Linked DNA regions of Elephas maximus indicus. Each later gene encodes a partner of the first gene's protein in a complex. Links are inferred from orthologs where the notes say so. Each region holds a gene or a part of one and is shown in the gene's direction. Other genes may lie near its edges. The genes, in order: RBL1, MYBL2 and LIN52.

Region 1 (3,747 bases):
CATGCAGCTCAGATTTCAGTAGGAAGAGCTGGTCAATAAACAAGTAAGATCATTTCAGATAGTGATAAGGTGCTATGAAGATAATGAAACAGGGTATGGGGAGGAAGGAAAGTCAGCTACTTTAGACACAGAGCTCAGGGATGGACTGAGAAAGTGACACTTAATTGAACTGAAGTGAAGAGGAGCCAGGTAAGCAAAAAGCTGACAGGCAGTTTGGTCAGCATATGAGAAAGACCTTTTGAGGCAAGAACTAGCTTGGCATTTTCCAGAGTCCAAAACAAAGTGAAGCTGGAAGTACAAGGCACTAGATGAGGCGGGCCAGGTTACATAGGGCCTTGTGGGCCACGGAAAGGAGCTTGGGTATTATCTTAAGCAAAGGTATTCGCAGAATGATATTAATCAAAGGAGTGCCATGCTCTGATTTACCTTTTAAAAAGATCACTCTGGCTTTTCCTGAAGTTTTGTTGGAACAGAAGGATAAGCTCTAAGACCTGAAGAGTATTCCTAAGCCTGAAATGGCTGTCTTTATTGAGAAAGTTCCCAAAGTCTAGAGAGCTGAAAAAGGGACTCCTTAATGATGAATGGGGAGATACCCCTTAATATACTTGCCTCACCAGCCCTGTGATAGTCTAGAGCACATTCATCCAACACTGGAGACATCCCAGGAGGCACTGCCTCCATCTCGCAATTCAAGTGCCTAAGCTCAGTCAAAGATGGGCTGTTTGGCGCCTCTGGACACCAACAGAGACAGGGCTGATAAGACTGGCGGGGCAGAGGACGCTTCTCGCTAAATAAATGTCACCCCAACCCCTCCCAAACCGGTAAGAGCGGTGCCGCCAGCTTCAGGGCAGGATGCGGACTACAACTCCCAGTAGGCTTCGCGCGCTGGCTGCAGACCCCCCCCCCCCCCGCTCTCTATTTGCCGCCCTGGCTGGCCCACCGCTGCCCTTCAAGGGCCAAGTACAATTTTTCCAGGACCCAAGATCCGTTTTGTTATCCCATTTCTAGAGAAGGTGGCTGGGAGCTCAGGAGAGGAAATGGACTTTTTTGAAGAGAAAAGCGGAGGGAGACGATGGAGAAGGCGTCGCTAAAGTGTCGCTGATTTTCGCGCGCTTTGGCGCGGGTGGTTGTGGGTAGCGCGCCCGGGAAGGAGGTTGGAGTCGGGGGGCTGCGACCGCGCCACCCGCAGGGCCTGAGGGGATGTTCGAGGACGAGGCCCACGCGGAGGGGGCGGCGGTGGTCGCCGCGGCCGGGGAAGCACTTCAGGCCCTATGCCAAGAGCTGAACCTGGACGAGGGGAGCGCGGCCAAAGCCCTGGACGACTTCACCGCCATCCGGGGCAACTACAGCCTAGAGGTGAGCGGCCGCAGGTGGGGCGGCCGGACCGGACCCTCGGCGCAGTGAGCCAGCGGCCAGGCCCCACCCCCGCCCCGCCCCGCCCCGCCGCTACTCTTTGGGGTGGTGGGAGTTCCCCGCCGAGAAGGGTCGCTGCCAGCCGGGCGCCAATAAGTGCAGAGCTGAAGGGGCGGGTGTAGCTCAGTCAGCCCACCCAGTTTTTGAAGCGGGAAACAAACCCAGAAAAGGAGCGGCTTGTCCAAGGTCACATTTCAGTCAGGGGTCTTCTAGACCCGTGGCTTCCACACCTGACCTCCCTCCAGCCCGCCAAGCGTCACACACGCAAAGGTACCGCCCGTACATTTGTAAAAACAAATACGGTAAAAAAAAAAAAAAAAAATTTTTTTAGTGAATTCGCGTTCCAAGATACTGCTCAGGGCTTTAAATATGCCATCTCAGTTCTCTCCACAACCCTCTGAAAACGTTCTCTGATCCCATTTCACAGTTGAGAAATCTGAGCGCCAAAGAGGTGTCCAACGTCACAGGGCTATTAGTGGAGCCAGATATTGGAGTCAGCTTTTTAAAACCCTTCCAAGACCCGTGGGACATGATGTGTCCCACTCACTTTTTATGCCTCTGGAGTTCTTTGGAAAGGGAGTAGCCCGATTTTAATGTGTTAGCCTCAAGGTGAGAGCCTTTTGAAATGTGTGAAACTCGAAAATCCTGAGTGGGAGCCTCATTTTTGTGTAGATAATTTCAGATGTGTGAAATTTTAAAACTTCTGACAGATTTGCTTTTATTTCTGTGAATTAAGCGTCTTCACTGTGTTTCCCCGTTACTGTGTTCTCTTGAGAATAAACTCTTGCCAGTCTTCATTTAGTCATAGTGGCCATTTTCTCCTTTATGCCATTCGTTGTTTCCAGGTGTTACTGGTTCCCTTCTTTTCCAGCTTCTGAACAGTAAATAATGCTTTTCCAATAAGGAGTAAAACATGACAGTGGTACTTTTCAAGAGATTGATTGGAACTCCTATAAGTTATTCTCACCCTGTATTCAATTCCAGGGCACAGTAATTGCTTCCCTGTGTAGCAGATGGAATGCATCAGGGTGAGCAGTTCTGCTGTATTCTAGGGCAGCTGTTTCTGCTGCTTAGCTGTTCGTACTATGTTTGTTATAATGAAGCATACATATTAGCAGTAATTTTCCTGAGATTCAAATCCCTTTATTTTTATTCTAAGCACTGCTTTTGCCATAAGGAAGAAAGCATTGTAGTGATAATTTTCCTGAGATTAAAAAAAATCCCTTGGTTTTATTTATCTGGGCTGTAAATACTGCTTTTGCAGTAAGGAAGAATGCATTGTTCATGTTTTGAAAAATTTCATGAAAAATAATAAAAAGGTCGTCTTGGTCATCTAGTGCTGCTATACCACAAGCGGATGGCTTTAACAAAGAGAAATTTATTTTCTCACAGTTAGTAGGCTAAAAGTCCAAATGCAGGGCGCCAGCTCCAAGGGAAGGCTTTCTTTGTTGACTCTGGAGGAAGGTCCTTGTCATGAATTTTCCTGTGGCCTAGGAGCTTCTCTGTGTGGGAACCTTGGGTCCAAAGGATAAGCTCTGCTGCTCATGCTCCTTCTTGGTGGTATGAGGTCCCCATGTCTCTTTGGTTTCTCTTTTATATCTCAAAAGAAAATGGCTTATGACACTATCTAATCTTGGAGATCTCATCAATATAACTGCGGCTAATCCATCTCATTACATCATAGTGATAGCATTTACAGCACAGGGAAATCATATCAGATGACAGAATGGTAGACAATCATACAATACTGGGAATCATGACCTACCCAAGTTGACAGATATTTTGGGAGGACACAATTCAATCCCCGACAAAGGCTAAGAAAAGTGAGACTAGAATAAAATGTGTGTGCAGTCATTACCATGTGCTTTCATGTTTTACCTCATGTTTTGCAAATTTTCAAGAAATTAAAAAAAAAAAAGATTTTATTATTGACTCATAGTGGTAGAATTAGTGTCTTCCAGGGGCAGCTGGGATACTGGGATCCCAGATAATGGGTATCAAAATTCATAACTCATAACAAAAATTCTGAATTGATCCTTTAATCAGCATGCCTTCATCAGTGAAAGCACATAGTATCAACAAAAAATTCAAAGGAGAAAGTAATTGGGTCTTGAAAGGGTTAACCTCTCTACCTTCTGCCTCACTAGGTTGGAGGAGAGGGTTGCTCACTTTGTAGCATTGCATTGTACAGTAGCTTGATCAAAGCTAGTATGCAAACAGTGCTTACCTCTCAACCCCAATCTCCTCCTCTGTCAGATGAGGATAATAGTACTTAACACATTTGGTTGGTGGTATGATTAAATGTGTTTACCTGATGCCTAGTCTAGTGTGGAC
Region 2 (3,747 bases), about 6.8 Mb from region 1:
TCGTAAATAGAATTCAACTCAACAGACATACCTGGGACCTCCTATGCTAGGCCTTGTCTGGGCTCTAGGGATACTGGGGTGGATTCAGAGGCCTTTTGGACTCCAAGATGCTCAAAGTTTAAAGGAGGAAATGCACAAGTCAACAGCTGGTTATGGACAGCCGACTTCAAGGATAAGTAAGAATTAGGTGGGAGGGGTAATAGTGCAAGCAAAGGCAAGGAGGCAGGAAACTTCTTTCAGCGGGGGTGGGGTGGGGTGGGTGATGATTCAGGCAGAGGCTATGAGCCTGATTGTGTAGGAAGGAATTTATCCCGAGGGAGAGAAGAAAGGGTCTTAAGTTCAGGAGAGACTAAGTGAAGTTTGTATTTCAGAAGTGTCACTCGGGCCGCCAATTCGAGGCTGCAGAGAAAGCAGGAAGGTACAGGTAGGATTAAGGGGGCCATTTTAGGGCGGGGCTGTAGCGACCCGGAGAAGCGAGGCTTCGACTAGCCCTGGGGTTTTTGCACAGGTGGTTTTCCCAGCCTGACTTTTCCATCCTTGCCCCTCACTCCTTTTTGACAGTCCTTGCTGTGTGGGCCGTCCCAGACCAATACTTGACTTGAACCCGCTCAGTCATATGGTGCTCACAAGTCCCATCTCCTAAGTCGCCACCGCGGCCCCTGTCATCATGGAACCTCTGGGCCTGTGCAGCGCCAGCCCCGCCCCCGCTGGCCCCGCCCAGGCCCCACACAGGCCCCGCCCAGGCCCCGCCCCTGCGCACGTCTGCCCGCCCGCGCGCCAGGCCCGGGAGGCGCCGACGCGCTTGGCGCGAGATAGGAAAGTGCTTCTGTGCGCGCCGGCCGCGGCCGTAGCTCCAGCGCGCGGACGGCGGAACCTGAGGACACGCTGACCGAACCTAGCGCGGCCCGGGGCCCGGAGCGGCCGGAGCAGCTAGTGTCCTGGCCCCGGCCTCGGCCCGGCTGCGGCTCCGGCTCCGGGCTCAGCTGGCGAGCCGGCGGGCGCAGCGCGACTTGGGGGGATGTCTCGGCGGACGCGCGGGTGAGCGGAGCTGGGTGGGCTGAGGGCCCTTCCTACCCCCTTTCCACCCCCACCGCCACCCACACCTCGTTCCACTCCACCTCGCCGTGGCCCCTTCGCGCGGGGCGTCTGGGGGGTTCCTCAGGAAATGCTGTGTCCTGGGCGGCCCGAGGCAGGGGCGCGCGCATAAAGCCATGGGTCCCTTGGGACCCCTCGCTCCGCTCCCCTGGCCTGCTCGGTGTCTGAGCCGGGGCGGGCGGGTCTCCCGGGGCCCGGGCCAGGCCCTGCATGATGTCATTTTGTCTCCCGCCTAATTGCGGTGTGGGGGTGGGACGGCCGGTGTCAGCTGGAAGGGCCTTTACAGGGGGAGGGAGGTGCCCCCCGGGGAGGGAAAATGTCTCCCCAACTCACGACGAGTAGGAGGCCAAAGCCTGAAAGACACTTGTCGTTCAAGCCTCAGTTTTGGTTCAGACTTCCCCCTTGGGCCTTTTCCCCCAACATTCGGGGAAGCACAGCACTTCAAGCCCTCTAAGCCCCCTCCCTCCGTCTGAGAAGGGTGCTGGGGAGGGGGCTCTTTTGTCTCCCCAGCCTGGGCTCTGTGCCCCAGCTTGGTTTAGTTTTGGAGAGCTCTCTTTGTGTTCTACCCTAGGAGTTTTGGAGCTGAAATTGAAGGTGGGGGAAAGAGAGACTGAGGTGTATGTATCAAGACTGCTCTGTGCCACTGGCCCCTGGGGCAAAGTCAGGGGCTGTGGTCTCCATTTTACTTAGTCCCCAGAGAATTAAGTGGCAGAGTCGATCCTGGAGCCAAGTCTGTGGGCCCCAGTGCCCCTTCATTTGGGGCCTGAGCTCTGGGAGTCATGGAGAACAGTGGGGTCCTGCCCTCTTCCCTCCCTGGATACCAGCAGCCCAGATAACCCCAGGCCCCTCTTCAGATGGTGGTGTTTGCCTTCTCAGGCCGAAGATGTAGACCTGTGACTCCATAACTGCCAGCTTTCCCGAGTCCTTCTCAATGCAGAAGTATGCTCAGGTTTGGTCCTCAGGGCCCGTAGTCCTGCCACAGGGACTGTCTTCCTCAGGCCAGTTTACCAGGGCAGCTCAGGTCCCTTGGAAGTGTTACTCCAGTGATGGCTGCCCCCACATGATGTCCAGGTCCTCTGATCCCCAGGTTTTCCACCAGTTCTCCCCTGGGGCTAAGTGGAGGGACCCCTCCCATGTTAGGGATGGGGCCTGTACCCTGGAACCCCAAACCCTCAACTTATTTCTTGGCCACTCACTGTAACTCTCCTCTGCCCCAGTGTCCCAGTTCCTGCTCAGCCTCTGACTCACCCTGGCCCTGGAGCAGAGCCCAGCACATTGAAGGGCAAAAGAAAGGGTGTGTTGCAGGGAAAGCAGTTGCCACCATTAACTTGGCCTCTGCTTTTTTAGCTGGGATTTACAGGTGAGGACTTAAAGGTGAGGACTTAAAGGTGCAGAGTTGAGGTCCTGGGCCTAGCTGTGTGGACGTGGAAAGTGAACCCTGTGAGCCTCAGTTTCCACACCTATTAAATGGGGATAATGACAGTGCCTGGGGAGTAGATGGCCAGCACTATGTGGATGATGGATATACCTCACTAGGTTCTCCCAGCTGTCTGAGATGTCCGCATTTAACAGAGCCTTGACACACCAGAAGAGTGTCCACACAGGCACCCTTTTCTCCCTGAAGACACGTTGGCTGAGCTTCTGTTAGAAGTAGATGTTTCTGTCAGTGAGGAGTCTGAGGGCAGTTGGGCTTTTTTTGTCCTGTATGTATTTTTTTAATTATGGAAAATATGTATGTAAGAAAACATTTGTCATTTCAACATTTTTTTAGGTACAATTCAGTGACGTTAATTACATTCGTCATGTTGTTTAACCATCACCATTATCCGTTCCCAAATTTTTCGAACACTTTCAGCAGAAGCTTAGCGTCCCCTAAGTGATGAGTCTGGGGCAGTTCATTTTAAAGCCAGCGTCATTCTGTTACAGTGTCTTGTAGATGTATTGCCTCCTACTTTGCAGTAGAGGAGCCCTGGTGGCACAACAGTTAAAGTGCTCGGCTGCTACCCCAAAGGTTGGCAGTTTGAACCTGCCCAGTAGCTTCAAGGGAGAAAGAAGTGGCAATCTCCTGTAAAAGTTGTTGTGTGCTGTCAATTCTGGCTTGTAGCGACCCTTAGGACAGAGAACTGCCCCCTAAGGTTTCTAAGACTGTAAAGTTTACAGAAGCCAACTGCTACATCTTTCTCCTGAGGAGCAGTTACTGGGTTCGATATGTAAAAACCCTCTGCTGTCCAGTCAATTCTGACTCATAGTGACCCTATAGGACAGAGTAGAACTGCCCCGTAGAGTTTCCAAGGAGTGCCTGGCAGATTTGAACTGCCGACCTCTTGGTTAGCAGCCGTAGCACTTAACCATTATGCCACCAGGGTTTCCGAGGGTTCGATATGTAGTATATATTATTTTGTGCCTGGCTTCTCCTGTCAACATACGTATTTTAATGTGATAGTCCACCATGTCATGTAATTGTGGTATAAAACTCCTTTGAAGAAAATGCTACTAGTTAATTTTTCATTTTATTTCTATAGACATGTGGTTTTCAGTTTTATGCGCTTCAAAAAACAAAACTGGTCTATAGAGAAAGAAGGTCAATTAATGGTTGCCAAGTGCATGGGCTTCTTAAGTGCATGGGGGGAATAGATTTATTTATTGGGGAGT
Region 3 (3,747 bases), on another chromosome or scaffold:
CCCCTGCAACCCACTTTTCCATGGTGTCACGTTAAAGAGCACATTTAAACATGAACCTTTGCTGACTCTGTCAAGAATCTTCAAAATGCAATCGTTTCTGCAGTAGAATTCACTGAAACCTGGGGCAAGGGTCACAGAATGAACTTTCAATCTCCTAGAAGTGTACACTACGTACCTGGTGGGTGCACCGAAAGAGATGAGAACAAGAGTGAAGGCAGGGAGGGGCGGGGCCAGAGAAGCGGAGGCTCCGCTGTAAAGCGGCGAGGCCGGGGGTGATAGCCCAGGGGTGACGGCCCAGGGGGTGATGGGCCAGGGGTGTTGGCCCAGGGCTGGATCTGGGACAAGGGAGAGTACAAAGTGAGGGGTGGGGAGGACAGGGCCGTACGGGTCGGGTGTGAACTCCAGGGTCAGTCAAGAGGGGTCTCGGCCAGGAAAACGGTCCCACCCGAGGTTGGCTTAGAGCGTGCGCGGAAAGGATCCAATTCCTAGCTTCGCGATCCCTCGGCGGCACCCTCACTCGCCTGCAGGATCCGGGCCCGCACTGCTGCCGCTGCTACCACCGCCGCCATGGCTCCTCGCCGCCTCTTCGCCACTACTGCCTCAGAGGTCCCCAGCAGCGCCGCCGCTGCCAGGACCCGCCCCTCCATCCTGCCGGACCTCTTCATTTGCAGAGAAGACCATTCCCCTTAGCCAATCAGTCGCCCTCATTCCCAGCTGGGGATGTGTGATTGGCAGAAGTGGAAGAGCTCTTGCCCCCTCCCACCTCAGCAAATTCTATTGGCGGATGTAGGGAAGACGCCCCCGTGACTTGGGCGCTCTAAAAGGAGACGCCCCCTAATCCGGAACTCCGATTGGCCACAGGCATGACCACGGGCCGCCCCCTCCCCTCACTGAGGAAGGTAAATAAGATCTTCCAAGAACTTTGTAGTCGCCCCTCCTCAACAACAGCGTTAGGGGGTGTGGCTAGCACCGAGGGGGCGGGGCTAGGCAAAGATCGCCCTACGCGGCGGCGAAACAAGACCCGGCCGCGAGTTGGGGATAGGGTTCCCCGTTCGGGGCGGGGCTTGGGGACTCCTGCTTTCCCGCCGACGGTTGGCCACGTCACGTGACATGGGTTGGAAGATGGCGTCTCCCACAGACGGTAAGAGCCGGCTTAGAGTCTCCGCCTGCCACCTACCTCTTTCATTGCTCCTGAGAATTTCCACTGTCCGTCTGCCCTTAGAATTTACACTTCTTTCTTGGGCCCCTCTCTTTTACTTTACTACTTCTTTTCCTTGGGATGCGTCCCTTTCGTCAGCTCGCCGGTTCTTCACCGAGGCTCCGGAGGTGCCAGTTTCCCCGCAGAAGGGCGGGGTCGCTCCGGCTCTCCATTAGCTCTATGCGGGTGAGGCTGAGGGCCGAGGAGAGGTACCTTTTACTGTAGTTTTCTCGGGGCACCCCATTGAAGGGTCGGTTCTCTTCTCATTGAGCATCCCGAGCGAGTCTCTGAAGCCCTAGGTGGGGTTGGTAGCTGACCTCATCCCGGGACTGAGTCGCAAAAGAGAAACGTGATTCTCTCCCGTTCCCTCAGATTGGGACAGTTGCTCCGGTGGCAAGAAAAGCCGGGGACCTTCTTGGCCCCTCGCCATTAAAGTCCTGAGGAGAATGCGAATTGAGCTATTTGGTGTGGTTTTGCACACGTCGCAGCCTCTCTTCATCTGTAGGTATTATTGGTTCCTCACGCCGAGTAAATGAACAGTTGTTTCTGTTTATGTGTTGTCTAAGATGCAGGTCATCTCAGGTAGCAGTTTTGTGGTTTTTTCATACCCACATGCTTTTGCGTTGGTTCTGCTTAAGAGAGTTAGGGTCTTGCAGTGATTTGTTGTTGTTGTTGAAAATATACGCAACAACACGTATACCAATTCAGCAATTTCAACATGGGCAGTTCAGTGACACCGATTACATTCTTCAAATTGTGCAGCCGTTCTCATCCTCCTTTTCTGAATTGTCCCTCCTACACTTACGTAAATTCACGTTCTTGCAGAGATTTTTAACTCACTTCATTTTTGCTTTTACCGCCGATTTCACTGAGATGTAGTTTTTCCCTCTCTCACAAACACATTGTGTTTGGAAGGAATCTTGGAAGTTCATGATATTAAGAATGAGAAAATTGAGGCCAGGAGAGAAAGTATGTCGGGTATCTACAATATGAAAGGCACAATGTTAGATTCTTTGGGAGACAAAAAAGATGAACGAAACATGTAAACACTTTTTCAGTTTCAGGTGTCATCGTAGATGTCCCTTCTCAGAGAGGTTTTCCTAGACCGCAGTATGTGGAGTTGCCCCTCTCCACCATTATTCAGCACCTCAGTATACTTCATCCTTCATTGTCAACATAGTTACTCTGTTAATTTTCCTCTTTCTCGCTGAATTATAAATGACAACTCAGTTTTATTCACAGTGGTATCCCAGGGTTTTTAGCACAGTGCTTGGCAGTCGGTAAGCCTTCAATTGATACTTATTGAATGATTATATGTATGCATAAATAATACATTACCTGGTGGAAAATCGTATGTTTTTGAGCACAGGTACCTATTGTATAAGAAATTATGGGTCAGAAGAGAATCTCCTGCCTGGATGCTCTCTTGCTAAAATGTCTTTCTTCTCCCAGAAAAGAGAGGCATTTAAAAAGTCAGCTAAGCGATAGAAGTAGAAATAATTGCTATTAAAATTTTTAGTTTATTACTACCTTGTTTTTATACGTTTTTGAGATTTCAGAGCTGTGTCCCTTTTTTGATAATTCCCTGTCTTAATTTTTTTCTTTCTTAGGCCAGGAAGAGTATTTGAAATTTTTTTTTCCCCCTTTGGTCATCCAACCATCTCTGTGGTTACTTGATTTTTACAAGTTTCCATTCTGATTTCTTACAGAATTCCACCTTTTTCAGCCCTTTTCTTTTTAATCTGACAACATCAAGTTGAACACTTTGAATTTAAATTCTGCTTCTAAATAAGCATTGCGTCAAAAAAAATCCAACTGCCTACAGCTCTCTCATTTCTATTTTTAGTGTTCCACCTGTCTCTGTCTTTAAATTTTAATTCAGATAATGCTGATTTGAAAATAAGTATGTACTGTTTAATCTTTCATCTTTTTAAGTTATACATTTGCTGAGTCTTTGAAAAGAAGAAAGTTGAAATCCAAATAAAGCCATTTAATTACTTATTATGAAAGTAAGAGTCACAGCAGAGTCTGAATAATGCCACAGACTGTAGTGTCATAAAACCACCTTTGATTATTGTGGAACCCACCGCCAATAAGTTTATTTTATTGTGGTTGAGCTTCCCATTAATAATGTTTTTGGGAATTTGAAAGTTTGCATTTTGTGTTACAGCTTTTTTTTTTTAAACCATTTCTGGATGCTTTAGTTAAGGCAATTCATTACATTTGAGCTCTTTACCAATTACAATACCATCAGAAATTCCCCGAAAATATTTGGTTTAGAGAAAAGTACATGTTTAAAAATATTATATATGTGTGTGTATGTATTTGTACATACATTTGTTGTTGTTGTTAGGTGCCATCCAGCCGGTTCCTACTCATAGTGACGCTATATACAGTAGAACAAAACACTACACAGTCCTGTGCCATCCTCACAGTCACTGCCATCTTTGAGGCCACTGTTGCAGCTCCTGTGTCAGTCTGTCTCATTGAGGGTCTTCCTCTTTTTTTTACTGACCCTCAACTTTACCAAGCCTGATGTCCTTCTCCAG

The links.
Region 2: RBL1 (region 1) and MYBL2 share a complex: the UniProt entries of both Homo sapiens proteins name them as parts of the DREAM complex. The link is inferred for Elephas maximus indicus from reciprocal best matches to the Homo sapiens genes RBL1 and MYBL2.
Region 3: RBL1 (region 1) and LIN52 share a complex: the UniProt entries of both Homo sapiens proteins name them as parts of the DREAM complex. The link is inferred for Elephas maximus indicus from reciprocal best matches to the Homo sapiens genes RBL1 and LIN52.

The regions. Positions count from the first base shown.
Region 1 is NC_064843.1:32,492,793-32,496,539, forward strand, and holds the start of RBL1 (retinoblastoma-like protein 1), read left to right. Parts: upstream 1-960; 5' UTR 961-1,200; coding exon 1,201-1,356; intron 1,357-3,747. UniProt on the Homo sapiens protein: Key regulator of entry into cell division. Directly involved in heterochromatin formation by maintaining overall chromatin structure and, in particular, that of constitutive heterochromatin by stabilizing histone methylation.
Region 2 is NC_064843.1:25,661,510-25,665,256, reverse strand, and holds the start of MYBL2 (myb-related protein B), read left to right. Parts: upstream 1-813; 5' UTR 814-1,018; coding exon 1,019-1,038; intron 1,039-3,747. UniProt on the Homo sapiens protein: Transcription factor involved in the regulation of cell survival, proliferation, and differentiation. Transactivates the expression of the CLU gene.
Region 3 is NC_064828.1:86,792,211-86,795,957, forward strand, and holds the start of LIN52 (protein lin-52 homolog), read left to right. Parts: upstream 1-1,015; 5' UTR 1,016-1,110; coding exon 1,111-1,141; intron 1,142-3,747. Other genes in the region: ALDH6A1 (methylmalonate-semialdehyde dehydrogenase [acylating], mitochondrial), read right to left, coding at 176-335, 522-569.